Macaca mulatta: one gene and its partners. The main gene of each other region encodes a partner of the protein of the gene in region 2 in a complex. Links are inferred from orthologs where the notes say so. Each region holds a gene or a part of one and is shown on either strand. Other genes may lie near its edges. The genes, in order: HPCA, NMT1, NCS1 and AIFM3.

Region 1 (7,286 bases), on a different chromosome or scaffold from region 2:
GCTGTGCGCTCGGCAGGCAGTGGGCAGGTGCCACAGGATCCCCAGGCAGAAGATGTTCTGCTCTCCTGTCATGGCCTGCACAGTCAGAGGCTGGGGAGGGAGGAAGGGAGGGGGTTTCCTTGATTGGAGGGGGGAGTGGGAGGAGCAGCTGATACCAAAGTTGGGAGGTGGGATTAATTCTGAGAGGGGGTCGGGGTGAGGTCTGGAGTCGTCCAAGGTGGAGGTGGGGAAGGGGGCGTGTCTGACCCCCTACCCCGTGTCTGGGGGCGTGTCTGGCCCTCCACCCCGAAGACCTCAGTAGCTGGAGGAATGGGCGCTCCACCCTTCCCGAAGAGCTCCCAGCTCCGTTAGTTGAGAGTTGAGGCGCAGGAGCGGGGAGGGTGCCCAGGGTGCCGATTCGGCCCTCGAAGCGACGTGCGGCTCAGAGCCCAGGTGGGCATCGGGAAGGAAGCGGGGGCGGAGTGGCCGGGGATCGCCCCCGGCTCAGTAGAGAGGCCTCTTGGCACTACCCTGTCCCTCCATTCCGGCCACCAGAGCTGAGGTGCCGAGGAGAGGGGCGCCGTGGTCCTCCTCCCCGGGTAGGCTGCTCCCTCGAGGGGGGCCGGGGAACCGAGGGCGTCCCCTTCTCTCTCCGGGGCGGGGGTGGCGGAGCCTAGCGCGCCGCTCCCCCACCCCCAGGGCTGGCGGGGACCCCCCTCAGGGGAGGGGCTCCGGGTGAGCGCTGCGGGGCGTCTCCCTCGCAGTCCCGCCCGCCCCTCCGGCCGCCCCTGCCGCGCGCGCCGCAGCAGCGCCGCCTTCCCTGCGCAGTCGGTGTCTCCGCGTCGCTGGGTGAGTGGGGGCAGCTCCAGCCGGGGCCAGGGGATGAGGGCAGGGGGTTCCCGGAGCCGGGGGCCCACGTCCAGGGCTTCCCAACACCGCCGCTCCCGGGCTTCCCGGGAATCCTTGTCCCGGGGTGGCGGGGGGCGCAGGGGACCGGGGAGCGCGTGGTGCTCTCCAGGGTCCTGAACGCCGAGTGGCCAGCCCCGAGGAGCCGCGTTCGACCGCCCGGGAGCGCCCCCTCCAGGAGGGGCCACGCGCCGGGCGCTGTCCTAGTGCTGAGCGGATGGAGGCGGGGGCTGGGGGCCAGAGCTGAGGGAGGTTTGGAGCTGGTCCCCGGGGCTGGCTTCTCAGGTCGAGCTGAGGGGGGTCTTCCCATATGGGAGACTTGAGGTCTTTGCGGACAGCTGAATCTTCTTCCAACCGGGGGGGGGCAACTCCGAGAGTGGCAGGGCGGAGGGGGCACTGGAGGAGCTCTCCTGCTCTGCGCATCTCTCTGCCCCCACCCCGGTGACCCAGTTCCTTGGACCTTGAGGAGGGCAGTGAGGGACATGCCCCAGCCCTTCTCATTTCCTCAGCCCTTTCCCACTCGCTTGTCTGGTGGGTCCTTAGCCTGGGCCATAGAGGCTGGTCTAGAAAGGAGGGGGACCAACTTACAGAAACATGCATGTGACACACCGCCTAGGACACACACAGGTCCTCCAAATGACCACACGGGCTCATTCCCTCACGCTGTGACGGGTGCATACCTGATCACATGCACATCTGAGGCACATGCAGGGACATAGATGGAAAGACACGGCAGGCGAATGCAATACAAAAACCAGCGGCACACATTATGCATGAGCATATGCACTCATAACACACCCATTCACATGTGTGCAGAGCTTCATGCACATGTATGCACAAATAATCCCCTCCTTGCCCCAAGTGGGTGGGGGTCACCTGCACACACCCCTACATTCCTGTGCAGAACTGGCTGGCTGTTTCCTCTTCATTGCCTTCTACTCAGTCTCCACAATCTAACCTGCACTCAGGGGGCCTTTCAGGACTAGATGAAAGGTAAGTGTTGGGGAGGCTTGGATGGGCTTGGGGGGGGTCTCCTTGGAAAAGGGGCCCCCAGCAGGTCTGGGAAGGTTTGCAGTTCCCTCTCCTGGGACCTGGCAGCACCCCTGGGAAAACTGAAGGAAAACAAAGAAAAATGGCAAGGGTGCCTGAAGGTCCCACGTGCAGCTGGCCATGTGAGAGGTGTCGGCATGCGAGTTGGCGTGTGATGGCATGTGTGAGACATGTGGGGTCGTGGGCTGGTGTGTCTTGATGCACAGGGTATGGGAGTTGTGCGTGGTGCCATGTGTCGATTCGTGTGAGTTGCGGAGCAGAGGGAATGTCGTCATGTGTGGAGGCATGCTGACCCATGGGTGGGCGTGGGCTGGTACGTGAGTGGCATGGGATCCAGGGTGTGGATCTGGTGAGCTATGAAGCATATAGTTATCGGTATATGTTTGTTTGCACAGTTTTTGCATGAGTTTTGTGGCACCTGGGTATATGTAAGTCATTTTTATTTATTTAACACTTATCTAGCACTTATCTGTGCAGCCATGGTTCTAAGTGCTTCCCACTTATTAACTAATTTAATCCCCACAACTATCCTCTTAGGTAAGTACTGTTATTACCCCACTTTAAAGATGAGGCAGAGAGAGTTTAAGGAACTTGCCCAAGGTCACGTAGCTGGTAAGAGGAGGAGCTGGGATTCAAACCTAGGTGATCTGACTCTGGAGCCCACAGTAACACCTCCCTCTGCTGCCTCTTGTTGGGCACACCTGTCAGAGGGAGAACAGGGCAGTGTCTGGGCTGCGGATATGTTTTGTGCTGAACAGGCACATATGAGGCAATGAGAAGGCAGTGGGTAGGACGGAGGAGGATCAGAAGGTTTTTCTGCACCTCTGTGGGCAACTCTAGGAGTCAGCCTCATCATGCCATGGCTGTGTGACCTGAAGCAGCCACCTCACATCTGTAAGTCTGCCTTCTCATCTGTAAAATGGGGAAAGTCCCCGTACCACCTGTCGTGAGGGTGAAATGGTGTGCATTTGTGAAGGCTTAGTGGCTGGCACCGAGAAGGGCCTCAGTAAATGTGAACCCCCCCTTCCCTTCCTCCCTCTCCCAGGAAAGTGTATGATCCAGGGAGATGGTGTGGAGCATGGCACAGATACAGGATGCCTGGGTCTAGACTGTGTGACCTTGGGCCAGTTCCTCTCTTTCCCTGGGTCAAACGAGAGGTGGGGATGGCTGTCGGCAGGGGGAGCCATCTGGAGCAGTGTCTAGTATCCAGGAGGGCCTGATCACTCCTCTCTGCCCTTGACCCCCTTGGGGACCCAGGTGGGACTTGGCTCGGCGGCCATGGGCAAGCAGAACAGCAAGCTGCGGCCCGAGATGTTGCAGGACCTGCGGGAGAACACGGAGTTCTCAGAGCTGGAGCTGCAGGAGTGGTACAAGGGCTTCCTCAAGGACTGCCCCACAGGAATCCTCAACGTGGACGAGTTCAAGAAGATCTACGCCAACTTCTTTCCCTATGGTGACGCCTCCAAGTTTGCCGAGCACGTCTTCCGCACCTTTGACACCAACAGCGATGGCACCATAGACTTTCGGGAGTTCATCATTGCGCTGAGCGTGACCTCACGCGGCCGCCTGGAGCAGAAGCTCATGTGGGCCTTCAGCATGTATGACCTGGACGGCAATGGCTACATCAGCCGGGAGGAGATGCTGGAGATCGTGCAGGTGGGCCCCTGGGCCCCTCAGAATGCCAGGCACAGGGCCCGGCAGCTTGCACCCACCACCCCTTTTGATCCTCTCAGCAGGCCTTGTAGGCAAGTGGTGGCAGGGGCTATTCTTGCAATCCCATTTAAAAAATTGTTTATTAGAAAATATTTCCCATTTAAAGAAAAGTTGAGAAAACTCCCCTATACCCTCTACCCAGATTCGCCAATTAACATTTTGCCACAGTTGCTTCATCATTATCTGTGTGCGTGTGCATGTGTGCACACTAGTGTGTAACATTTCTTGTTGTTCTGAACATTGGCCCTTTACCCCGGATACATTAGGATATATTTCCTAAAAATAAGGACATTCTCTTACATAACCCATAATATGATTACCAAAGCCAGGATATTTAACATAGAAACAATGCTATTATCTAATCTACCAACCATATTCCAATTTTGCCAACTGTCTCCATAATGTTCTTTATAGCATTTTTGGCCCTGACCTGGGGTCATGCATTGCATCTAGTTCTCATGTCTCTTTAGCCCCCTTTAATCTGGAACAGCTCCTCATCCTTTCTTTATGAGTTGACATTTCTGCAGAGCACAGTCCAGTTATGTCTAATTGATCTTCATTTACACCAAAGGAAACAGATGCTCAGAGAGATAAAGGCACTTGCTTGAGGCCACACAGCCTGTGTGAGAGGGCCATCTGGCACTACTGTCCACATTCCATCTGGATACCCAGCTATCTTCTAATTGATTGAGGGCCCACTATGAGCTTAGCATTGAGTGAGGTGCTTATGAGCTCAGTGCATGCTTACAACAACCCCATGAGGCTCGGAGAGGTGAAGTGATATACCCAAAGTCACCCAGCAAATAAGTGGAGACAAGCTCTGGCTGGCCACTACTCAGAGCTGTCTACTGAGAGGGCTCTGGACTCATAGCCAGGAGGTCTAGCTTCCAATTCTGGACGTGGCCTTCACTCTTAGGCTGCTCATCTGTATGGTGATACTGACTTCACAAGGACATTTAAGGACCAGATATAAAAGCCCTTTGTTAGTACAAGTTTAAGTGTGCTACATGTTAGCTTTATTTCAGAAACCTCCCAGAGCACCCATCCCCTCAGACCAGCCTTGAAGATGGCCAGGGCTCTGGTTCTATTTTACCAGTCCACTTCCTTGCCTGCCTTTTTCCTAAGCCTTTATGGGTTTTTTCACCTGTAAAGTGCGGGTGTTAAGCCCCTGCCTCACAAGGCTATTGCAGGGATAGAGTGAGATAAGGACTCGAGCGGAGGGCTTGGCATATAATTGGTACTTGGTAGACATTAGCAATTGTCTGTTATTATTTTCTCCTCTGTACATCCTCTGCTCTAGCCAGAAGGGCCTTTTCAGCATCTTTGAAATGTGCCCTGACTAATCCTGTCACGCAGCTTTGCACAAGCTCTAGCCCCCTTTCCTTCTGCATCTCTGAATCCTTTCCCTTCTGGTTCCTCAGCTCCATAGACTGCTGCCCCAGCCACTGCTGGACTCTTGACTTTGGCTTCTCCTTTTGCTAAGGTCTGGGCCTGCTCTCTAGGTGGAGATGTGATGCCCTCCCCATACCTATGGCTAGAAGGGGGAAAGCCTTAATGTTTGCCATGGACTCCTGTGGGTCAGACATTTGACTCTTTAGTTGCTCGATGGTAGGGGGATCTGGGGGTTCTGAGGGTAGGGTCAGGTGGCCAGGATGGTGAAGGATCACCCAGACATGGACAGCAGCTGGGTATTGACCAATCTGGAGGGACATTTGCATTTTACCACTTAGTGTGTTGCACTGGTATGTACTGGTAAACCCCAGTCCTGCTGGAGTACCATGCCCAGGGCATCAGTCAAGCTAGACCCATTCCCTGGGCATCCTCAGGACCCCTTTCTGGTGGCTTCTGCTATCCAGGCCCTGGCTTCTTTTCTGGCGGCCCAGTGGCCCCAGATGGTTGGTACCCACAGAGCTCTGCAAGCCCCAGTACCTGATTAATGACAAGTCGGCTCCCATGAAACCATGAGTGAGCAGCAATTCCAGACAATTAGTTAGCAGGCCCAGGAGAAGGCTGTCACAGAGGTAGTGGTCACTGGCCCAGTTCTTCTCAAGACACAGCCCTGTGCCAGCTAGTGGACACACTGGAGAGGAAGAGACTGCGCCTCTTGGGGCTCCCACTCTGGTGGGGGAGACAGATGTGTAGGTCACACTGACAAGCTCAGTGACAGGGGTTTAAAGGTGTCATCTGGGAGCCAGAGGACTGAGTGGCAGGGAAGACTTGAGGATGTAGAGGATGAATAATGACTGTAATATAAGCTATTTACTGACCACCCACTCTAGCCAGCCACAGTTCCTCACACATAATCTCATTTAATCTGAGGAAACTGAGGCTAACAGAAAAGTATGTGTCCAAGGCTACATAGTTAGTGAGTAGTGGAACCAGGACGCCACTCCAGGTCCATCTAACTTTAGAAGCTTGAAACTACCAGACCCCTCTATTCATGTGCTCATCAGACAGGTACTGATATCCGGTCACAACTGTGGCTACCATTCATTGAGCAGTTACTACAGACTGGGTCTAATGCTACAGGCCCTGCTGACTGTCACCACCCCACACTGCCCAAGCATCCCTCCAGCAGCTAAGAGGGAACAGGTACAAATTGAGTCTCCGCCATCAATTTCCTTTCTGAGCCACAGTTTCTTATCTGGAAAACAGGGATCATGATACCTGTTTTTCAGGGCTTGTGCGAGGTTTAGAAATAGTGCGTGTAAAGTGCCTGGCACAGAGCAGGTCTCTGATAAGTGGTAGTTAGTATTGTTATTCCAGGCAAAGACTGTAAATGCTGCAGAATCTGAAGGGTCAGGGGTGTTTGGCTCTTGGCAGGATCACCCAGCCAGGGGAGGCCTGATGGAGGAGGGTCAGCAGTGGACAGATTGTAAAGCATCTTAAATCCCAAAGGCCAAATGGTTTGAACTTGGAACAGAGGGCAGTGGGAAATGCCAATGGCTTTTAAATAGGGAAGTCCCTGCCTGGTGCCAGGTTCTGGGGATATGGACATTAGCTAGACGTCCACGTTTGCAGGAACATCCCTGCAAAGACATAATTTCTTCTGGAGAGATGTTTGCAAAGGAAAAGTCCACCGGGCTCTGGGCCCATATGCACCCTGACCTAGCCTGGGTTGGAGAAGACCTCGCTAAGAAAACAGCTTGTAAACTGAGTCCCAAGGAGGAGTGGGAGGCAGCAGAAGGAGCTGGGTGCAAGGCGAGCCTAAGGGGAGCCCTGTGTGTGACGGGAGTGAGGGGGTGGTGTGCGGGCTGGGGACGTAACAGTGGAGATCTGTGTTTGGAAAGAGCTTTCAGAGGCAGCATAGGGGACAGACCCGAGGGACAGGCTGGAAGAGACCAGTGCGGAGGCTGAAGCTGGATCTGAGACAGCAGAAGTTTATGGGATGGGAGAAGGGAGGCTTCTTGGAGGAAGTGTCGGTCGGGTAAAGCTGGAAGATTGGGGAGACAGGTTCGGTCCTTGAGCTCCGGGGCACTGTGACCCAGGCTACAGGCCAAGCCCTACGTGCGTGCTCTGTACATTTAGCGCAAGAACTCTCTTTCATGTCACCTCGGGAGCTACTGCACGTGGCGGCTGCCGCCCTCTGCCCAGCCCAGCCAAGCCTGGCGGTCCCTGCCTGCTGCAGATGCATATTT
Region 2 (6,813 bases):
AGCCTAGGCGACAGAGCGGGATTCCATCTCAAAACAAAAGAAAACAAAGAAACAGGGTTTTGCCATATTGCCCAGGCTCATCTGAACTCCTGGGCTCAAGTGATCCACCTACCTCCAGCCTCTCAAAGTGCTGGGATTCCAGGTGTGAGCCACCTTGCCCATCCCAGTAGGGATTCTTAAAATCCCTTCTCCGGCCGGGCGGTGGCTCACGCCTGGAATCCCAGTACTTTGGGAGGCTGAGGCGGGCAGATCATGAGGTCAAGAGATTCACTGCCAACATGGTGAAACCCTGTCTCTACTAAAAACAAAAATTAGCTGGGTGTGGTACGTGCCTGTAGTCCCAGCTACTTGAGAGGCTGAGGCAGGAGAATCACTTGAACCTGGGAGGCAGAGGTTGCAGTGAGCCGAGATCGCACCACTGCACTCCAGCCCAGCGACAGAGCAAGACTCCGTCTCAAAAAAAAAAAAAAAGAGGAAAATCCCTTCTTTTTCCTCGAAGTGCTTCTGGTTGGCCATCAGTCCACACAGTTACTGAGTTCCTGCTGACGTGAGGGCTGCCTGCCTGGACTTCTCAGCCTCTAAACAGGATTGATCACTCTGAAATCAGGCTAATCCACCAACGGATTGAGGTCATTAGTGTCCCATCTTGAGAGGCTGCTGCAGTACCGTCAGACACTGCCAAAAGCACAGGTTTGGGGGACTGTGGTATGTGTCTTCTGCCTTCTGTTCTCATGACAAATCTGCCCTGCGTTCTAGGCCGGTGGGCAGGCGGGCAGAGAGCATTCTTAGAGTGCTGCGGCAGCCAGAAGACTGCCTCACCCATATCGGGGTGGAAACCCCAGCATGGCTGTGTTTTCAGTCCAGGATTTGAGGTATCATTATGGGAGCTGCCATGTAGAATGAGGTCAGTGAGTGTTCCCTAGAGAGACGAGGATTTAGCAAGGAATTTTAGAGGCTGGAGGTTCTAGAACTGAAGTTTTAAAAGCAGTTCTTGCACTGGGAAGCATTGTGTCAGGCACTGACTGAGGCCTGTAAACTGTGACACCACCCTGTTTGCAGATTGCCCCAAGCCCACCTTTGTGTATCTGAGCCTCTGGGGATGTTCTACCAGCCCGGTATTTGCACCACAGCATCATATGGTTTCATTCCACTGAAGCATTTTTCTAGCAAAAGCAGCTGCCAGGTGGGACGCTGACTGGGGATGAAATCCTGGGAGTATGCTGCTTTTCTTCTGCATTTAACTTGCAGCCATGGCTCTCTGGGAAGTACTGGTGTAACAGTGTCTGGGCGGGCAGACCCTGGCTAGGCCCTGGGGTCTGTGAAGTGCTCTAAGTCTAGCAGAGAGCGAGCAGTGAGTATGGGATGGCATCAGTCACAGTTCAGTAAGAAAGAAGCCTGTGAGGACCGCTGGGCTGCATGGGCAGAAGGTACAGCTAGAAAGGCCACCCTGGCCCAAGGGTAGAAAGTCTTGTGCTCTGGGGCGGGGAGTTTGAAACAAGGGTGGAGCATGAAGGGTTGTGTTTTCTTAGGAAGTCAGTCTGGGGCCATGTGGATGATTGATTGATGCAGCAGCCTGAGTCCTCCTGGACTAGGAGGGAAAGGGCCAGAAGATATGGAAGAGGCAGGCCCTGTGCCTGAGGAGAGATGCACGGGGGTGCAGGGAGCCTCCAAATGACCAGGGATTCTCTCTTGAGGGCCTGATCTATCCTCACCATGGATAGACCCAGGGTGATCAGCTCATCTCACTCCATCTCTTCTGTCTTGCTTCCAGACTCCCAAGACAGCTGGGCTGCGACCAATGGAAACAAAGGACATTCCAGTAGTGCACCAGCTCCTCACCAGGTACTTGAAGCAATTTCACCTTACGCCCGTCATGAGCCAGGAGGAGGTGGAGCACTGGTTCTACCCCCAGGAGAATATCATCGACACTTTCGTGGTGGAGGTGAGTCAGGGAGTGGTGTTCCAGGCCTCTAATGCGTTCCCAGAGAGGCATCCCCCTGAGTGGCCGGGTTCCCAGGGCTTGAGTGTTGGCACCCTAGACTTCCTTGACCATCCGTGTTTGGTCCTCCCTAAAAACAAGGAGTTGGTGCTTGAATTTGCTGAAAAGATATCTTTGGATCTGGCTTGAGCCCTTCTCCCCCTCTGCCCCACTTTGATAACACAGAATAGAGAGAACTGAGCCCCCCTTAATCCTTCAGGAAAGCCTGCAATTCCCTGCCTGTCCCAACTTAACCCAGTGCTGACCAGACGTAGGAGACACAGTCTAGGGGGGATGTGAACTGCAAGAAGAGGTCCCTGGTGGTGCCCCTGCTGGGAAAGAGGTTTGGCAGTTTCAGTCTACGATCACGGCTCTGTCCTCAAGTGCCCTGAGCCAACATCCCTCCTCCTCCCCACATGTCCTGTTGCAGTTTCCACCTGTTTATCTAGAGGGGCAGAGCTGCCTGAAGGCAGAGCAAAAGAAAACATTTTGTTCCTGGGCCACAGTGCCACTGTACATGCTTGACATTGCCTCTTTATTGCCTTCCCTTCAGAACTCAAACGGAGAGGTGACGGATTTCCTGAGCTTTTATACGCTGCCCTCCACCATCATGAACCATCCAACCCACAAGAGTCTCAAAGCTGCTTATTCTTTCTACAATGTTCACACCCAGACCCCTCTTCTAGACCTCATGAGCGACGCCCTTGTCCTCGCCAAAATGGTGAGGAGCAGACCAGGGGCTCTCTGGAGATGTGCGGGGAAGGGGCAGTGGAGCCATGGTGAGCACAGCTCCCGGGACGCAGCCTCCCATGGGCTGGGAGGCTCCGAGTCCTCCTCACCTCCTGTTCTGCTTAGGCAGGGTTCCTGCAGTTTTTAGCCAGAAACTCAAAACTCGGAAGGAGCAAGGAGCATCCGAAGTGAAGGCATTGAACTCCTCCTGATTCATTTCAGTGAGTTTCATTCTCACAGGAGGCACCACCAAGGAGCCTGAATAGCCAGGCCTGCCCTGGGAGGACACGGGTTCTCCTCACAGCTTTCCCAGCGTGGGAAAGGGGTGATTCTCTCTGTCGTGGTGAGTCATCGGAGTGTCTGACTGCCAGCAGCGGCTGGAGAGCCCGTCGGTCAGTGCTTCGCTGTGGCTTCTGGTGACCTCCTGCACCCAGCCCAGCCTGCTGTGGGCAAGCTGGTCCCTGCCCTGTGAGAGCTTCTGCTCCAGTTGGTGAGGTTTAGGAAGCATCTTCACAGTCTCCAAGCGACACAGCAGGTGTCACATAACATGAGGTGCACTGAGGGCCTGAGAGTTGGAGTATACATGGAGTAAGGAAGCAACACAAACCCCAGGTAGCTGATGGGAGCCAGCTTCTCAGAGGAAGGGGCTCAGGGCTTGGACTCCAGAGAGGACTGTGGAAATGACTAGAGTTTCAGGGAGGCATAACCAGGAATAGCAAGAGCCCCAGTCTGGACACTGAGTACCTATGTGTATACTCAGAGGGAGACTGGGCAGAGGCCAGGCTGGAGGGGGCGTCCAGAGTGTCCTGAGAACCGCCTGGAGAGCGGGGAGTAATGCAGAAGCAGCAGAGCTTCTGAGGGAACCTTGTTCTTGTGGCTGCCCACAGGACAGCTTTGAAATGGCAGCAAAGGGTTAGGAAGGAGGCCATCCCCACCTGTCCTCACCTGTTCTTGTTTCTCCCTGCTGCTTTGCAGAAAGGGTTTGATGTGTTCAATGCACTGGATCTCATGGAGAACAAAACCTTCCTGGAGAAGCTCAAGTTTGGCATAGGGGACGGCAACCTGCAGTATTACCTTTACAATTGGAAATGCCCCAGCATGGGGGCAGAGAAGGTGGGCACCATGCAGCCAGAGTCCAGGCTGCCCAACCCAGGGAATCAGTGTCTCCAGCAGAAACCGGGCCATGGGTTGGGGAGACAGCTGCAGTCTGGGTCCTTGTTACCTGGAGTTGAGCCTTTGAAAATGCCCTCCCTCCCATCCTGGCTAACACTGTGAAACCCCTTCTCTACTACAAAAAAAAATTAGCCAGGCGTGGTGGCAGGCACCTGTAGTCCCAGCTACTCGGGAGGCTGAGGCAGGAGAATGGCGTTAACCCGGGAGGCGGAGCTTGCAGTGAGCCGAGATCGCGCCACTTCACTCCAGCCTGGGCGACAGAGCGAGACTCCGTCTGAAAAAAAAAAAAAAAAAGAAAGAAAGAAAAGAAAATGCCCTCCCTCTGCCCTCTGCTGGCCAGACCAGCAGGTCAGCGTTCCCCTCTCAGCAACTGGTGTGAGGATGGCAGAGGGGACAGAGCCACACAGGAGCAGGAAGGCCTTCCCACCTGAGGGAACCGTGGAAGTTGAGTTGCCCACAGTTTGCCAGGAGGGTAGGGCTGCGGGGTCTCTGAGGAGGTTTCCTCTCCCGAGCTGCTGCCCTCTTCCTGGCATGACACTTTCTTAGCCCTTCCTCCCCCAGCGCCACAGGGGACATGGGGGTGAGCTGGAGCGTGGACCAGTTTTCCCTGGGAGGTCTGATGGACATGTGAACCCTGGTGTGGAGGTTGAGCACGGGGCCAGCTGGGTGTGAGTCTGCTCCCACAGCACAAGCGGTGGACCCCGGGCCCAGCCAGTCGGAACTTCGGGGATGGGGGGTGTGGGAGAGTCTTTGGACCACTGTCGACTCAGCTCTGCCTCTCCCTGTTGGCTCTCCTAGGTTGGACTGGTGTTACAATAACCAGTCACCACTGAGATTCTGGATAAAGCCACTGAAAATTCGAACCAGGAAATGGAACCCCACCACTGTTGGTCCAATTTTCACACACGTGAGAATCCCTGGCAAAGGGAGCAGAACTGAACCGGCTTTACCAAACCGCCAGCGAACTTGACAATTGTATTGCGATGGCGTGGGCTGCGTGACGTCACCTCCGGTCGTGTCTCTGGTCTCCGTGTTTTCCAGTTAATTACATCTTCATGCAGCCGTGATCAAGGGAATGTAACTGCTGAAAACTAGCTCGTGATTGGCATATAATGGAGTTAACGGGTGAATAATAAAAGTATATATATATATTATATATATATAAATATTTTAAATATCTTTCATGTTCCAAATGTGCAAGGATGTTTGGTCTTTAATGAAAAGCTGAATCCAGATCATTCCTCAGAATGAGGACCCGAGGACAGTGGCAGACAGACGCGTTGGCACAGTCATGGTTTCCTCCAGAGGAGACATTGACTTATCTTGGGGAAAAAGAGGATCTGGAGAACCGCATCCAGCTCCCCTTCTGAATCAGCTGGGATGACTGGCTTTGAGAAGGAAGGGAAGGTGGAACAGGCTCAGATCTCACTGGATGGCACATGGAGCTCTTGGCTGGGGCTGACGCTGGGCAGGGACTTTCCTGCAGGGCCAGACCTGCCTGCATTTTGAGACACAGCAATGGGACGGTCCGCAGCAGCAGACCTCATTGATCGAGTCCCTTCTTCCATCCCCTTGACCTGCTCCCTATAGGAAGTCATCCTGCCAACTGATTCAAAAGGGCTCTTTAGCCAGCTGTTGCCAACCTTATAGGGATGAGTCCCCTGTGAGATTTTGCTTTTCCACTGCCTGGGATGACTGGCAGTTTGAAGAGGCCCTTGGACCTCCTTGTAGCATCAGGGACCTTTGGAGACCATATCAGTGTAAGCCCTGCTTAGCTCATCTTAGAGCAAAGAGCCAGCACCCTGATGTCCCCAGGGTGGCTGGGCAGGAGTGGCATGGGGCCAATACCCAGACCCCTTCAGCCACCAGCCCCTGGCCTGTGCCTTCCAACCCATTAGCCATTTCTTGTTGTGCCCCTTTCCAAGATACAGCCTGCAAGTGGCAGCAAGAAGTGGTGATTAGAGGCAGATCTGGACTTGGCAACAGAAATGGTTTCCCATCACCATTGTCTGAGTCTGACTTTTGCTGATGCTGTTTTGTGGATTTTTATGGTAGTGATGGTTGTTGATGCTGCCAGTTTCCCAAAAAATAATCAAGCCTCTGGCCGCATGTCTGTCGATGTAGGCATTCTTGAGTGGTGTTCAGCCACGCGGCCTGGGCAGAATTGGGCTGTGGAATTGTCAGGAACCCACTTCCAGGCTTGGATGTGATTTTTGCTCTAGAGAGAAGCAAGTGGTGGGGAGGAGGTAGCATGACGTGTGGCGTGTGGGGCTTCCTTGCTGCCGTCACCTCTCCACTCATACGGGAATGAAGCCTTAGCCAGGAGGCCAGGCTGAGCCCTGTGCCACTCACCGAAGCCACACTCTGCAGGCCAGCAGGGGCTTGTTTCAGGTTGTGGGTTTTGGTGTGGTTTGTCAGAGGCTAATTCTGCAGAGTTGCCAAAACCAGAAGACGTCGTATGCTTGGGATGGGGGCCGTGCCACCTGTGGGAATGCTGCCCGCTCTGCAGATTGCTGCTAGAGCCAGCAACTTCACTAAGGTGGATTTTCGTCAGAGGCCTGCAGGGGCCTCCCTTTTCCCATTGTTCCTGTGCTGCAAACTGTAGGCCCCAGCAATCGTGACTGACGTTGACTCCTTGACTCCAAGAAACCGAGACCAAAGAAGCTGCTGTTCTTAGCAAGATGCGCACTGCATTCCGCAGACGGGAGGAGTCGGAGAGGCAGGGGGCTTGCTTTCAGCCTCACAGACAACAGTTGCACAGCGCCTCAAGTCCCAGAGTGACTCACCCTGTCCAGACCTTTGAGGATATCAAAGAATAAAGTGCCCAAGTCTTTCCTACCTTGGGGGAACCTGGAACTTGGAAAGGCTCCCTGTCCTAGTCTTGGCCTGTTCTGGGCCAGGTCCCAGCTTGAGCTGCCTCTGAGATTTGGGCT
Region 3 (7,336 bases), on a different chromosome or scaffold from region 2:
TCTGCACCCCTGTGTTTCTGGTTTCTATGCTGCATTTATGCATATTGTTTATTGATTATACCACTGTCCCCTCACTAAAGTGTAAGGTCCCCGATGACAGGGATCTGGTGTATGTCCCCAGGGCCCTGGCACATAGTAGGTGCTTAGTAAACATGTCCCAAATGATGGGATGAGTCTATGAAGTCCCTGAGTTTCCTGGCAGGTGTTCCCATGTATGTTCCCCCACCCTCTCCATTCCTTGCACGGTGTTTGTTGCCAGCGTGATTTTGTGATCACTGTGCAGCAGGTCGGATCAGATCCGTAAGCTCCCGTGTTGGTCTCAGTGTCCAGCACGGCACCTGACACAGGGGCAGTGAGCAAGAAATACTCACAGGATGAGCACCCAGGTTTCTTTTGTGTGCGTGTGTGAATGCGTGTGTGTGTGAGTGTGTGTGTGTGTGTTGAGACAGGGTCTCATCACCTAGGGTGGAGTGCAATGGTGCAAACAGGGCTTCCTTCAGCCTCCACCTCCTAGGCTCAAGCAATCCTCCTGCCTCAGCCTCCCGAGTAGCTGAGACTACAGGCATGTGCCACCATGCACAGTTAATTTTTTTTTTTTTGTATTTTTTGTAGGAACGGGGTTTTGCCATGTTGTCCAGGCTGGTCTTGAACTCCTGAGCTCGAACCATCCACCTGCCTTGTCCTCCCAAAGTGCTGCGATTACAGGTATAAGCCACCATGCCTGGCCCTTCCTTCCTTCCTCTGTTCTCTTTTCTCAGGTGTGTGTGTGTGACAGAGAGAGAGTCAGGGTCTCTCTCTGTCACCCAGGCTGGAATGCAGTGGCACAATGATGCTCACTGCAGCCTGGACCTGCTGGGTTCAAGCGATCCTTCCACCTCAGCCACCCGAGTAACAGGGACTTAGGTATGTGTCACCAAGCCCAGCTAACATTTAACATTTTTTGTAGAGATGAGGTCTCCCTATGTTACCCAGGCTGGTCTTGAACTCCTGAGCTCAAGTAATCCTTCCACCTCAGCCTCTCAAAGTGCTGGGATTACCGGCATGAGCCACTGCACCCAGCCTGAGCACCTGGGTTTCTGTAGGGCTTTAACTACTACCGCTGTCATCCAGCCAGGCCCTGGTCCCTGCGCTGGCTCTCCCTCCTCCCAAGCAGGATGCTCAGCACAGTCTGGTCAACTCTGAGCCGCCCACTATGGGCCCCTCACTGCTGTCCACTCTGAATTGGTCCTCAAGGTTGGGACATTCTGCTCCCAAGTCTACACAAGTTCCCTCCAACTGTGCCCACCTCCTCTGCAGAATGAGCTCCCCAAGCCAGCAAGTCCATCCTCATCTGAAGACTTCCTGGGGCCCAGGGCTCAGCCTGGGCAGGGGCTTCAGGAGAAAGCAGGAGTGGATGGAGTATGCTTAGAGGCAAGAGAGAGATTTGGGAGCTGGAAGGCACTCGGCCCTGCTCAGGGTTCCTCTGAGCTTTCCGGGCCCTCCGAGGTTAGAACACTGTGGAAAGAAAGAAGAAAAAGAGACCCCACTCCTGCCTCATCCCTGCTGGCCCCGGGGGGAGGGCTGCCTCATCCTCCCTGCTCTTTCCTCTACCCCAGGGCCCCAGCACCGCGTGTCATTCCTTCCTCCATCCTTCACTCACTCACAGAGATTTGCTGGGTAACTACCACACCTCAGGCGGTCTTGTAGGTTATGGAGACGCCTCTGCCCTCTGGGAGGGTGTTCTCCCATGGAAGAGACAAACAGGAGGCAGAAAACATAGGTGACGTTTGTGACGGATGCGAAGGAGAGAAACTAAAGCTGGAAAGGAGGATGGGAGAGGTCTCAAGAGGTGGTGATACGTTGGATGAGGTGGCCCGGGAAGGCCGTGCTGGACTTACCCTCTGGACCACCCCCCAACGCTAACCCACGGGCCTCTGTCCATTCAGGTGGAGCCTGTCACTCCAGCCTTGGCTCAGAGAAACAGCTCCGAGCAGCTCTGACCTGTCACTCCAGCAGCTCTGACCCATCACTCTGCTGAAGTCCCTTCATGGGCGCTGGTGGGCAGGGGCCCAGCTCCTCGGCGAGGGGCCTTTCCGGGCCTGCCCCGTGGGCCCTGCCCTTCTCCCAGGCCCCCTGTGCCCGCATTGGTGCGCAAGCCCATAAGCCGGGGAGCTGTCCCTCGGGCGTGCAGGCCTCCCCGCCTCTCCAGGTTGCCTGGGCCAGAACGCTTCTCCATCCCCCCTCCCTTCCTGACCCTGGGCTTGGAGGTCACCTGCCCCAGGCCGAGAGTAGGTGCCCCCACCGCTACCTGCGGCACCCTGCACAGCCCTGCCCGCCCTGCGAGAGCTGAGGCGCTCCTGTCCCGTGGGCCGCCGTGTCCTCGGCACCCCATGAATCCGTGTGGAATGAATGAATGTCTCCGGGCCGGGACTTGGCCTCATCCACATCCAATCTTCCGGGCCCTCCCGCCGCGGCGGGGGCCGGAGCGCCAGGGCTGGATTCGGGGAGGGGGTGGCTGCCCCTCCCTGGGGCCGCGTTGAGCTGAGGGGACGCCCCTCCGGCGGGCTGGCGGGGCCGGGGTCCCGCTGGCGGAGGCCGCGGCCAGGTGGGTGCGGGGCGGGAGGTGGCGCCGGGCGCTGAGTGGCGGCTCCGGGTCCACCCCTGGCGCGCGGGTGCGGGCGGGAGGCGGGAGGCGGGAGGCGGGGAGCGCAGGGGCGGCGGCTGGCGGGAGGCAGCAGCGAGCATGTGCCGCGGAGCCCAGTAACCAGGGACGACCGCGGCCACACCGCGCCGGCGCCGGCGCCCAGCCCAGGCAGCCCCGCGCCGCGGCGCCCGGACCGCCCGGGCCTGCCCAGCGGCCGCCCCACGCCCCGAGCGCCCCGGCGCCGACAGCCGCGCAGCGCAGCGCGGGCGCCGCAGACAAAGGCGCGGCCCCGGCCCGGCCCGCCCGGCCCAGCCGCTCCCGCTGGGCGCCCCAACCGGGTCCGGCCCGGGGGGGCGGGGGCCGCGGCCGCCGAGGATGGGGAAATCCAACAGCAAGTTGAAGCCCGAAGTTGTGGAGGAGCTGACCAGGAAGACCTACTGTGAGTGCTCCGGGTCCCTGGCCCGTGCCCCGCGCCTCCCGGTCACCCCCACGCCCGCCGCCCCCGCCCCCCGGACCCGCGCGCTACCCGCTCCGCGCCGCCGCCTCCGCTCGGTCCTCCCAGCCCGGCCTCCGCCGTGGGCCTCTCGGAGGCTCCCGGGCCGCGCCCCTGCCCCCCGCCCGGCCCCATTGTTCTGGCACCCCCAGCCCGGGGAGTGCGCGCCGGTCGGCGTGCGCGGCGCCACCCCCAGGTCCGGAGGGGCAACCCCAGCCTCCTGGCGGCCCCCTCTCCGCAGAGCTGTCCCAACAGGCAGGGGCTGTTGTGAGGGCGGGGCGGTGGTCCCGGGAGGGGGCGCCCGGCTGCGCGGAGCCGACTGGCACTAGTGCGCGGGGCTGGTGATTCATGCATCACGATGCCGCCGCCGCTGCTGCTGCGAGATTGGCCTGTCGCCCCCTCCCTGGCCCCGTTCGTGTGTGGGGGGTGGCGAGACTTGGCACAGCGCCTGTCGAGCGGTGACGGCGGCGAAGGGTCCCCGGCACCCTGTGGGTTGCAGCACTTACAGGCTGGATTCTCCCTGGCTCCATCTCTGTCTGCCAGACCGGGAAATGGGTTTCTACAGCCCGGGCGATCTGGGCCGTGTGTGATCATTAGCTGTCGCGGGCTGCCCGGAGGAGGAGGGCCTGTCCTTTCTGGACGTCTCCAGATCAGTCTCAGTGTGTCTCCCTCCACTTGCCCAACTTCACAACTCTGCAGTCCCCTTGCAGCCCCAATTTCTCCATATCAGGCTTCCCCCTTCCCTGCAGCATCTCCGGAGGTGCCCTGGCATACCAGGGGTTAATGGCAATGGGTCCAGACCACCCAGGGGATGCTGAGAGGGAAGGCTTCCGCATCGGGGCCTGGAAGGACCTCTGCCTGGGTGTTTGACTTGGAAGGGGACAGTGGCTCTGGGCTTGGGTTGGAATTCAGAACCCATCCCCGGGCAGCTGCGTGGGCCCAGGCCCTCTGCACCACCCCTGGAGGCAGCAGCTTGACCGCCAGCCCCATGTGTTGATGGAGGCTGGGGAGGCAGCTCCTGGTGGTGCATTGCACAACCTCTGCTCCCCGCTTCCCCCCAACTCCATCGGTCTTCTGGGCACGTTTGCAGGTCTGTCCAAGCCCACGCTTCAGCTCCATGCCCCTCACCCCTCGTGCTTGGAACAAAGGGGGCTTTCCAGAACGGGTGCTAGTCTGCTGCGAGGTGCTGGCCCTTCTCCTGTGGAATGCTGCAGCATGGAGCTCACATCCCAGGAGCTGCTACCTGGAAGGGGTGAAGCCCCTGGGCACAGGGGCTGCTGTCACCCTCTCTCCAAGGTGGGCAGGTGGGTGGCCCATTCCAGTCTGGCTGCTGTTTTGTGATATTCGCTGGGGCCTCCTTCAAGCTAAGTCCAGATGTGGCCCACAGCTGCCAGCAGGTGGACTTCCTGGGTCCCTGTGCCGGGGGAGAGTGAGGACACAGTGGGCGTCATCGGGAGTGGTGGGCATGGGCTGCATGGGATGCCTCCATCGTGGTGGGACAGGGGAGTGAAGCCAGGTTTCCTGCTCATGGAGCATGTCACTTGCCAAGCTCTTGGCATCGTTAGCACCTCGACTCCGCCACAACTGCTCTACCAGGCTGGGTGCTGCTGCGATCTCTATTTACAGATGGGGAAACTAAGGCTCAGAGGGGCAAAGTGGCATTCCCATGATCCCACAGCTAGTGACCAGACAGTGCCAGGACTCAAATTCCGGTCTGTCCTGCTCCAAGGCTAGTGAGAGACCTCAGAGCTCATGCCAAGAGCTCTTCTGGGCCAGGCACAGTGGCTCACGCCTGTAATCCCAGCACTTTGGGAGGCTGAGGCGGGTGGACCAGCCTGAACAACAAGGGGAAACCCCTGACTCTACTAAAAATACACAATTAGCTGGGCATGGTGGCGCATGCCTGTAATCCCAGCTACTCGGGAGGCTGAGGCAGGAGAATCACTTGAACCCGGGAGGCGGAGGTTGTGGTGAGGCGAGATTGCTCCAAGAGGGAACCTCCATCTCCAAAAAAAAAAAAAAAAAAGCTCTTCTGGATGTGTCTTTTTCTGGCTTTTGTTAGAAGCCCATGATGGTGGATTCTAAATGAGAAGGGCCTGGGGTGATCATTCTGTCCGGCCCCCTCCTCTGGGCAGATCTGTCAACTTTGAGAGAAGTTGAGTCAACAAAGCTTTGTTAGGAACTGGCCCTTGTGGTGCTAGGCTGGGCTATTTTTAAAGGCCTTCGGAGACGTGGAACAGTTTTGGGCAGGGAGAGAGTTGGCCTGGGGACTTTTCCTCTGTAGAAGCCCTTATTAGGGGTGGGCTGTTGGAGGTGGCGGTGGGTTCGTTGGCCTCCGGTCTGCCTCCTGCGCTGACGTCAGCTCCCTGGTGCAGGCCCTTGTGTGTGGAGCTCACAGCTGTGTTCTCCCCGTTTGTTGGGCTTTAGTAGGTCCACAGAATGAAAAGTCTCCCAACACAGCAAGCAGAGAAAGCCTCCAGCTTGTTCTCCGGCCCCAGATGGGCTTCCTTCTAATGGGGAGTGGAGCCATCTGCTCTTTGTTCTGGGGGATTCTGTGTATGAGGTCAAGAGAAGCGCCCCAGGAAGGACTCTCAAATGTCAGAATTTCCTGGTTGATTAATAAACATGAAGGTACCTGGGCTGTCCTCCCAGATTTCCGATTCTTTGGGTCTGGCTGGGGCCCAGGAATTTGCATCCTTGATGCGTGTTTGTGTTGCAAACTGTGGTCCTGGGGAGCCCCGATTGAAGACCACAGTTCTGGTGTATGCTGGGGGTCCTAGCCCACCTCGTGCATAGCTGGCCACAGTGCCGGGGGGCCTAGAGGGGAGCCATGGGTCCACGTCCGAGTCGGTGCTCAGCGGTGTCCTTGGTGGGCGTCTCTGACTCTGTCTGTGGTGGTCTGTGTGTGTGAGGAAGCAGGAGTGTCTAAAGGCCCCAACAGTGTGGCCCTCACTGGACACACTGGGATTCCACCTGGCTCAAATCGTAACCCAAACCCTAACCCAATCCTCAGCCTTCCACCAGCAATAGGTTAGGGAGAGGTGGACGGGGGTCACCCTGCAGCCAAGACAGACAGTGGCAGTCAGCATTGTGGGCGGCCCACTTCCTCTGAGGTCTGGCCCACTCTCTTCCAATCTGCTGATGAGGCTGTTGGCATCCCTGTGTGTCCTGGCTGTGGGATGGGCCGGTCCCCTCACCTACCTGAGCCTCAGTTTCCTCATCTGCAAAATAGATGTGCTCATGGTACCTGAACTGAGAGGATGTGAGAAGTCAACGGGGTCATGTGCAGCGTGGGACCTGATATGTGGCGTGGGGTATGTGGTCAGTAAATGCCAGTAAATGCCAGTGATCGTATTAATGCTTATTTGTTGTTGTTTTGGAGACAGGGTCTGGCTGTGTTGACCTGACTGGAGTGCAATGGTGCAATCATGGCTCACTTAAACCTTGACCTCCTGGGCCCAAGCAATCCTCCTGCCTCAGTCTCCCCAGTAGCTGGGACCACGGCCATGATATTTATACCACACCTGGCTAATTAAAAATTTTCTTTTTGTAGAGTTAGGGTCTTGCCCTGTTGCCTGGGCTGGCTCAAACTCTTGGCCTCAAGCAATCCTCCTGCCTTGGCCAGCCAAAGTTCTGAGATCACAGGCCTGAGCCTCTGCACCCGGCCTTAATATATATCATTTTGACCGTACAATACAGCTTCCTTTTGAACTGGGCTTATGTGTATTTTGTGGGCAAATTTCTTCTCTCCACAGAGGAATCTTCCTACGACCCTGTTTTTTTGTGCCTGGCACGCAGAAGATGACATCTAGGACTGCTGGGCCCGAATCCCAGCAGGGGCCTGCTCTTACATGTAGCGGCCTCCCCAGCCCCACTTGTGAATTGTGAAGCCGCCCTGGCCTGTTGATTTAGTGCTCACTGTGTGCCAGGCGTGGAGGCAGAGGAGTGGACGAGAGACATAGAATCCCTGGCCTCAGGAGGAAAGCAGCTGGGTTATCTGAAAACTCGGGCATGGGGGTGTAAGCCATTTGTGGTGGTCTGAGCTGCATCCCCTTAAAGACTTCTAAGGCCGCTGCAGGCCCAAGCCAGCCAGGCCCAAGAGACAGAACCTCTACCCTCCCCCCCTTCTCCTTCTCCTTCTCCCCATGATGTTTGCCGGCACTTCCCAGGGACCCTCGGTCTGGGACTCAGGGGTGGCCAGCTCCTCCCTGTTCCTCTTG
Region 4 (7,388 bases), on a different chromosome or scaffold from region 2:
GCAGGTGGGTCCCTCTGTCTGGTGAGTCACTACAGTTCTCCTCTCTCCCCTAAGTTCCCCCTTAGACCCAGGAAAGGGAGAAAAGGCTCACAAGTTCCAAGGTAACGGAGCCGATGGGTATCAGGTAAGGGGAGCTGGGGTGAGCTGGCTGGGGCAGGGTGGCCTGGCGGGGTGAGTGGAGCACTGGCTGGGCTCTTGAGGTCTCTCTAAGCCTAATTTTCTCCATCTGTGACAGAGCTGCACACTCCTGCCTCCCTGGGTGTTGTGAGGAGAGAAGAGGGAAAGTGGGGGGCCAGAGGGAGAGCTCTGCAGACATGAGTCTTTAGTGGAGAAAAGACGCAGGCCTCTCCCAGCACCCCAGGACACTATCACTTCTGGCCAGAGTAGCTCAGGCTAGGTTGGGTGGTGATTTCCTGTATAAATGGGGAAGTGTGCCCAGAAAGGCCAAGAAGGCAGCCCGAGACCACACAGGGGATCAGAGGAGGCGAAGAGAGCCAGGATCTGCTCACTACACCCTCACAGCAACTCTAAGAGGTCAGAGTGGCCAGGCCCTCTCTTTTGCAGAGAGAAAAACAGAGGCTCAGAGGGGTAACTTGCATGCCCTAGGTCATAGAGTGGCTGAGGTTGTCTCCAGTCCCCCCACTTCCCTGGCCCTGGGGGCATAGCCCCTTCCCCAACCCTGCAACAGGAGGAACCAGCTTTTCCTTTTCCAAGAAGGGTCCTGCTCTTATTCCCACCACCAACACTCAAAGCCCCAAAGAAAAAGGGGCACCCAGTGGAGGAGGGGCCAGCTGGGGAACTGCTCCAGGCCCCCTACCCCCTCCTGGCTGCAGCGTATTAACATTCCGAGCAGGCTCCTGCCTAGCCTGACCTACTTCGGAGGCTTGCCGAGTGCAGAGGGGGAGGGCGGGGGGAAGAGGGGGGAGGAAGAGGTGGGGAGGGAGGAGGAAGGATGGAGGCAAGAAGACAGGAGGTACCTGGTTTGGGCTTGGAGAAACAGCCACCCATGGCGAGTGGCCTGAAGATGGCCGGCAGGCAGGAGCACAGATGGGGAGCTGTCGGAGGCCTAGGGCGCCCCCCATGGGGCTGGACCCCCTGAAGGCCTTAGAGATGCTGGAGATGCCATCCTGCTGGAGCTGCTCTAGGACCTGCAGGGGAGACTGGGGCCGTCATGACCGGGGCGTGTGGGCAGAGGTAGAGACACACAGAGAGAGAGAGAGAGATGGTGGGAGCTTCAGAGAGTCTTACATTTGAGTTGGGAACCATGGCGTGTAGGTGAGCCTGATCCCAGAGCGTGGGGCCCTGGAGGACACCTCCCCTTTGAAGCCCTCCAAGCTCAGCTCTCTCACTCCTCCAGTGGAGTTCCTCGCCCCAACCTCGGCCACCCTTGGTCCAGCCCCACAGCTGCCTTGCCCAAGAAATCCTCCCTGATTTCTGCTGCCTCCTCATGCCCCCCTTCCCCTCTCCAAATCCCACAGCCTGAGAGTTCTTGGACCCTCCATTGTACCGGGAGACCACCATGCCTAAGCGTAAAGAGTGGGTCACCTTGGGCAAGCCAAAGCCCTCCTCATCCTTGGTCTTCTCCCTCCTACAATGCGGGTGTCATCAGGCTCCCTCTAGCCCAGCCCTACCCTGGCTAGTACTCTGGACACCCACCTCCTCTCAGGGCAGCCACTGCTCCGTGTTCCAGGCCCAGCAGTGGACTGAGGCTGCCGGGCCTTGGAAGGCCGGGCAGGGAGGGCAGGGGTCCAGGAGGCGGCCCAGCCTCCACCCTCCTCCCAGCTCAAGCTGTGGCCAGGAGGGGCTGGGGGGTGGTGTGGGGCTGGGCCAGTCCACTGGTCCCCAGGGAAACCCAGCTCTGTGGTGAACAGAAGTGGGCGGCCAGCCTGGCCCTGATGGGGTTAGGGGAAAGAGAAGCCGGGCACACAGCCCTGCCATGCCTGTGCCCAGCAGCCATAAGCTCCCCCTACCCCCGACTCCAGCCCTTCGCAAATGCCCACTAGGCCTGTGGTGCTGGGGTCTTGCCCAACAGCAGATGGGGAAAGCAAGGGGCCAAGGTCTCATCAAGGTCAAGCAGCAGGGGTATCCCTGTGGCCTCCTACCCCACCCTCCCACCTCCATCAGTTTTAAGATGGGCAGGGGCCCAGAAAGCCCCCATATCACCCTAAGGCCCTGCAAGGTGCCCTGGGGGAGGGACACCTGCACAGCAGAGAGCTCACTGTAGCCCAGGTGCCTTCCAGGCTACAGGGCAGGCCTTCTGGAAGATGCAGCCTACAGGTAGGACTTTGGAAGGCCCAGGGCACAGGCATAGCTGCCTTGTTTGCAAATGACCTCCCCACAGTCCATCCCACTGTCATCCTCCGGTTTCCTCTGGAACTTCTTCCTGAAGTCTCACTTGAGGTGGGGCTAAGGCCCACCTGGTCTGGCCCAGATCCCAGAAGGGCTGTGCGTGGGTGCCTGAGAGCGAGGGGTGCAAACAAAAGCCCAGGTTGGAGAGAGACCATTGGTGCCTGGCCCCTGCACCTGTCGGCCCTCAAGGTGCCCATTACAGGGGAGGAGCCGGTGACTCCCACAGCCACTGGGGTGTGCCTTGGCTCTTTCCCCCACTTGTCACCAAGGAAGGTCTGTAAAACTCAACAGCCACCTGCCCCACCTGCCCCCTCCCTGGGCACTAGGCAGCCCCTCCCCGGGTCCTGGCTTCAGCCCTAGCTCAGCCCTGCCCACTTCCTTCCTGGCTGACCTCAGGCCTCACCTGCTAGGCCACAGATCCCAGAAAAGGTCAGACCTGGTCTTGCCACTGGGGACCTGCCCAGGCTGTGCTGTCCCTTCCGGAGCACCCAGGGCCCTGAATCCCCCAGGGCCTGGGCCAGGAAGAAGACTGGGTGGGGCCCCTGTGCCTTCGGCCTACTGTGTGCTAGATCGGCTTGGAGCCCAGTCACCCCACTCAAAGGCAAAGGTCCTTGCTAGGGGCAGGGCAGTAGGGCCCCCCAGGTTTGTGCAGAATGCCAGAGTGCTGTTCCTTGCCCATGAGCTGCCCACTGCAGAAAAGTTCTAGCACAGTCCAGTGCTAACTGGACTCTGCAGGAGTCTGTCTGTCCCAGGGACCCCAGGACCTGTGAAGCGGGACTGGATTACCCCCATCTCACTGAGCGGCCACTGCTCCACCTGACCCTCCCGGGGTTCCTGGCGCCCGCCCCGTGTGCAGGCTGGGCAGGGTCCTCTCCCCACTCCTCCACCTCTTGCCCACCCGCCCCCACTGCCTCATCCCAAGGGCTCCTGCCCAGATCGGGCTCCCAGTGGCTTCCAGGCGTCCTAGGGGTGGCATCTGATTCCAGTCCTGCCTTGGAGTGTGGGGGCTCCGCGCTCTCCCCTCCCCCACGGAGCTCAGGCGCAAGCCTCTGTCCACTCTCCTCGCCTCTGCACGTGCAGTTCCCTCGCTCTGGGAAGCCGGTGGCCGGTGCCAGCAGCCTCGCCGGCTCCATCCCGGTGCCCCGCCAGACCTTGCAGCCCGGGAAGGGGGATTGGCACACAGTGGGAAGCCGCGGCGAGCAGGGAAGGGGCGGTTGTGGGACGAGAGAAGGACGAGGTGTGCTCTGGCCCCCGGGCAGTGCCTGTAGCCACGCTTGCCGACCCCCAACCCCTAACGTGCCGGGCCCGGGTCCGAGACCTGCGAGCACAAGCGCTGGCCCCCGGCGCCGGGGCGAAGAGGCAGGGCGGCGGGCGGGGACCGGGGTTCCGGGGACCGGGGTCCCCGGGGCGGGCGCTCACCTGGGCTCGGCGCGGGCCTGGACTCGGGAACCGCTTGGGGCCGCGGGCGCGGGGGGGCGGGGAGGCGCGGGCGGGGCGGGGCTGGCGCTGCGGCTGCACTGCGGCCGGGGAGCCCGCGGCGCCCAGCACCGCCCCGCCGGGCCGGAGCAGGTGGTGGGCGGTGGGGGACATAGAGCAGGCCGAGGCCCTCGGCGTCCGGACCGGAGTCGCGGAGCGTGGGGAGGCAGCCGGGGGCCGCTCTGGCAGGGGGCGCCCCGGACCCGGGTCTGGGTCTCCGGGGATCCTCGCGACCTCCCAGGGATGCCCAGCTGGGGCGCGGGCAGGGTCTGCTTCTTTTTTACTTTTCTTTCTTTCCAAAGTCTCAGAACCACTGTGGGCGGGGTGGGGGAACTTGAATCACTCTGAGAAACCTCCACAAGAAAGAAAACCCCAATCAGGCCGGGCGCGGTGGCTCAAGCCTGTAATCCCAGTACTTTGGGAGGCCGAGACGGGCGGATCACGAGGTCAGGAGATCGAGACCATCCTGGCTAACACGGTGAAACCCCGTCTCTATTAAGAAATACAAAAAAAAACTAGCCGGGCGAGGTGGCGGGCGCCTGTAGTCCCAGCTACTCGGGAGGCTGAGGCTGGAGAATGGCGTGAACCTGGGAGGCGGAGCTTGCAGTGAGCTGAGATCCGGCCACTGCACTCCAGCCTGGGTGACAGAGCAAGACTCCGTCTCAAGAAAAAAAAAAAGAAAAAAAGAAAACCCCAATCAAACCTTACTGCCCACAGCTCCCTTCACTGGGTGGGGGAGTTCAGGTTCACCTGTGTCCTAGGTTCCTCCCGGCCCTCTCTCCACACGTACCAGGGTCTATTTTCAATTATATTTTATTACATTTTTCTTTTTCTCACCTGTCATTTACCAGAACTCCTTGGGTCTCCAGAAATCACAGTGCATCCTGGTGTTGTGCCTCCTCCTCCAGGAAGCCCTCCCTGACCAGCCTCCCCTCTATTAGGGCTGATTATTCTGGTTCCTAACACTTGGGTGTTTCATTGTCTTTAATGTGTGGATCTCTGCATTTGTAGGTAGACTTTGTCCTTCCAGCAGGCTAGAGCACAGAGGCTGTGTGGGTTCCTCCCCTGTCTGGGCCTTACTCTCCTCTCCTGTAAGGAGGACAATAATGACAGCAGTAATAGTCCCCTGTGCCAGGCCCAGCCGGTCTTCCCAGGCCATCCTCTGGGACTATTTGTGCCCCACCCCACTAGGGGGCAAGTTCGAGCCCCCCAACCCCACCACCCTCCTACAATTTTACAGATAGGGAACGCAGCCCAGGAAGTCTTGGTCTTGCTCAGGGTCAGGAACAGGCCCTGCATGGGTCACACTGGGAGCAGGTGGTGGGGTGCCCAGGCCCGAAGGGCACATGTGGCTCAGTTCAGGAAAGTCCTCTCAGCTCATGTGTCGCTTCCACAGTGGGACCGTTGCCACTGCCATAGGAGAGTCCCATCACTGGGCAGATGGCAGTGCTTGGGCCTGGTGCCCTCCATCTCCAACCAGCCTGCCCCCATTTCATGCACGTGGTGATCTGGCTGCCCCACCCCCCACCCACCCTCAGAATCTCCTGCAGCCAGGAAGACAGTGTGCCTCATAATAACTACGGCTGTGATTTTGCATGCATTTATTTCCTTACCCATCACAACAGCCTGAGAAGGAAGGTTCTCTTTGTATTATCTCCATTTCACAAGCAGAGAAACTGAGGTCCGGTGAGGTTAGGGACTCTCCAGGGCCACACAGCTGCTAAGTGGCAGAGCAGCCCTGGGCAGGCTGGCCTCCCAGGTGGAGGGTTGGAAGCAGGAGGGGAGAGGCCTACCAGGCTCATGCAAGGCCGCAGGGCCTCCAGTGCACAATTCAAGTCTTATTCTGTGACCGTGGCAATCAGTGAGTGGACCCCTCTGCTCCAGCCTCCCCAGGATCCCGGGGGTAACTGAAATACTCTCCCAGACTGCTGCCAGGACACCATGACAGGTGCAGAACCAGTCACAGGGGGTGCTCGGGAAGTGGGGTCGGGGCTGCTGAGTTTGGGGTGCCAGAGAGAAAGCTGGGGAAACAGGTCAGTGTGGGGGTTGAGGAGGCCAGCAACCTGGGGAGATACCCTGACACAAGGCAAGTGCAGGCCTGACCTGGGGCAAGTCCATTGTGACTCTCTTGGCCCCAGGCACTGTGCTTGAGGTTCCTGCTGCCTCATGCTGGGGCAGAAATCACAAGATCTTCATAGGGCAAAAGCTAAAACCAATGGCAGGCTAGAAGTGCTGCCTCTCGAAGGGCCGTAAGGCTTAGGGGAGATGTGTGTGGACCAGGGGCCCCAGGAAGACCCAGCAGGGCTCTGAGCCCCTGGCAGCCTGAGGTCCTGATCTTGCCCCAAGGATGGTTCTGGAAAGGCGATAATATTCCAGCAGCTTTGACAGTACCAAATGGGGCACATGGCTGCAGTGAGATGACCTAGAGCAGCTGGGAGGTCCCTCAGGCCCATTAGACACCCCAAAGGCAGGAGGAGATAGCCAAGGTTAGAGAAGCAGTGAGTGTGGGGAGGATAATTCCACAGCCTGGGAGAGAGGTAGATCCCTAGGCACCCCCAGCCCTGGAGCATCCCACCACACAGCAAGCTTGTCCCTCTCCTCCTTACATTTATCCTCTACTGTCAGATTCTCCTATTCCCCACTCCCCTCACCCTAGAGTCTCCAAGCAGGGTGTGCAGGTATTTTAGGTAAGAAAGTGACTGGGTGTGGCAGCTCACGCCTGTAATCCCAGCACTTTGGGGAGCTGAAGCAGGAGGATCGCTGTCTGGGCAACAAGGCAAAACTGTCTCTACAAAAAAACAAAACAACACTTTAGCTTGGTGTGGTGGTGCAAGTCTGTAGTCCCAGCCACTTGGGAGGCTGAGGTGGGAGGATGGCTTAGGCCCGGGCAGTCAAGGCTGCAGTGAGCCATGATTCTGCCACTACATCCAGCCTGGGCAACAAAGTGAGACCCTGACTCAAAAAAAGAAAAAAAAAAGGCCGCTGCAGTGGCTCACACCTGTAATCCCAGTATTTTGTGGGCAGATTACTTGAGGTCAGGTGTTCGAGACCAGCCTGGCCAACAAGGTGACACCCTATCTCTACTAAAAATACAAAAATTAGCTGGGTGTGGTGGCGCACACCTGTAATACCAGCTACTCAGGAGGCTGAGGCAGGAGAATCGCTTGAACCCAGGAGGCGGAGGTTGCAGTGAGCTGAGGTTGCGCTACTGCACTCCAGCCTGGATGGCAGAGTGTGACTCCGTCAAAAAAAACAAAAGAAAGAAAGAGAAAGAGAAAGAGAGGAAGGGAAGGGGAGGGGAGGGGAGGGGAAGGGAAGGGAGGGGGAAAGAGAGGGAGAAGGGGAGGGAAGAAGGGAAGGGAAGGGAAGGGAAGGAAAAAAAAAAAAAGAACTGAGCCAGTTTCAGTATCTAACATTGTGATTGACACTGTCGCCCCCTGGAGCCCAATCTGAGAATCAGCAGGATTCTCCTTGAGGGTTCTGAAGGCAAAGACCAAGACTGGGGGCCTTTTCCCTGCAGGCTGAGGTGGATTTCCAGATGCAGAGACCTCAACTTAATTAAC

Evidence for each region.
Region 1: the proteins of NMT1 (region 2) and HPCA are in contact, whole or in part, in a crystal structure (PDB 7OWM), measured with the Homo sapiens proteins. The link is inferred for Macaca mulatta from reciprocal best matches to the Homo sapiens genes NMT1 and HPCA. Residues at the interface, in NP_066565.1 of Homo sapiens: Tyr180, Val181, Glu182, Asp183, Asp184, Asp185, Met187, Phe188, Arg189, Phe190, Tyr192, Ile245, Asn246, Phe247, Thr282, Ala283, Gly284, Tyr296, His298, Ser300, Lys310, Phe311, Ser312, His313, Tyr401, Leu403, Ser405, Tyr420, Gly468, Ile469; in NP_002134.2 of Homo sapiens: Gly2, Lys3, Gln4, Asn5, Ser6, Lys7, Leu8, Arg9.
Region 3: the proteins of NMT1 (region 2) and NCS1 are in contact, whole or in part, in a crystal structure (PDB 5O9S), measured with the Homo sapiens proteins. The link is inferred for Macaca mulatta from reciprocal best matches to the Homo sapiens genes NMT1 and NCS1. Residues at the interface, in NP_066565.1 of Homo sapiens: Tyr180, Val181, Glu182, Asp183, Asp184, Asp185, Met187, Phe188, Arg189, Phe190, Tyr192, Asn246, Thr282, Ala283, Gly284, Arg295, Tyr296, His298, Ser300, Lys310, Phe311, Ser312, Tyr401, Leu403, Ser405, Tyr420, Gly468, Ile469, Gly470, Asp471; in NP_055101.2 of Homo sapiens: Gly2, Lys3, Ser4, Asn5, Ser6, Lys7, Leu8, Lys9.
Region 4: the proteins of NMT1 (region 2) and AIFM3 are in contact, whole or in part, in a crystal structure (PDB 6SJZ), measured with the Homo sapiens proteins. The link is inferred for Macaca mulatta from reciprocal best matches to the Homo sapiens genes NMT1 and AIFM3. Residues at the interface, in NP_066565.1 of Homo sapiens: Tyr180, Val181, Glu182, Asp183, Asp184, Asp185, Phe188, Arg189, Phe190, Asn246, Thr282, Ala283, Gly284, Tyr296, His298, Phe311, Tyr401, Ser405, Ile469, Gly470, Asp471, Asn473, Leu474, Leu495, Gln496; in NP_001373743.1 of Homo sapiens: Gly2, Cys4, Phe5, Ser6, Lys7, Pro8.

Annotation. Positions count from the first base shown.
Region 1 is NC_133406.1:207,960,919-207,968,204, reverse strand, and holds the start of HPCA (neuron-specific calcium-binding protein hippocalcin), read left to right. Parts: upstream 1-3,207; 5' UTR 3,208-3,213; coding exon 3,214-3,591; intron 3,592-7,286. UniProt on the Homo sapiens protein: Calcium-binding protein that may play a role in the regulation of voltage-dependent calcium channels. May also play a role in cyclic-nucleotide-mediated signaling through the regulation of adenylate and guanylate cyclases.
Region 2 is NC_133421.1:69,472,739-69,479,551, forward strand, and holds the end of NMT1 (glycylpeptide N-tetradecanoyltransferase 1), read left to right. Parts: intron 1-1,771; coding exon 1,772-1,942; intron 1,943-2,531; coding exon 2,532-2,699; intron 2,700-3,682; coding exon 3,683-3,820; intron 3,821-4,678; coding exon 4,679-4,699; 3' UTR 4,700-5,034; downstream 5,035-6,813.
Region 3 is NC_133420.1:17,426,698-17,434,033, reverse strand, and holds the start of NCS1 (neuronal calcium sensor 1), read left to right. Parts: upstream 1-2,738; 5' UTR 2,739-2,998; coding exon 2,999-3,062; intron 3,063-7,336. UniProt on the Homo sapiens protein: Neuronal calcium sensor, regulator of G protein-coupled receptor phosphorylation in a calcium dependent manner. Directly regulates GRK1 (RHOK), but not GRK2 to GRK5. Can substitute for calmodulin. Stimulates PI4KB kinase activity.
Region 4 is NC_133415.1:31,810,283-31,817,670, reverse strand, and holds the start of AIFM3 (apoptosis-inducing factor 3), read right to left. Parts: upstream 4,005-7,388; 5' UTR 3,940-4,004; coding exon 3,769-3,939; intron 1,706-3,768; exon of another isoform or gene 1,657-1,705; intron 1,233-1,656; exon of another isoform or gene 1,149-1,232; coding exon 978-1,148; intron 1-977. Other genes in the region: uncharacterized protein LOC144331927, read right to left, coding at 4,763-4,914. UniProt on the Homo sapiens protein: Induces apoptosis through a caspase dependent pathway. Reduces mitochondrial membrane potential.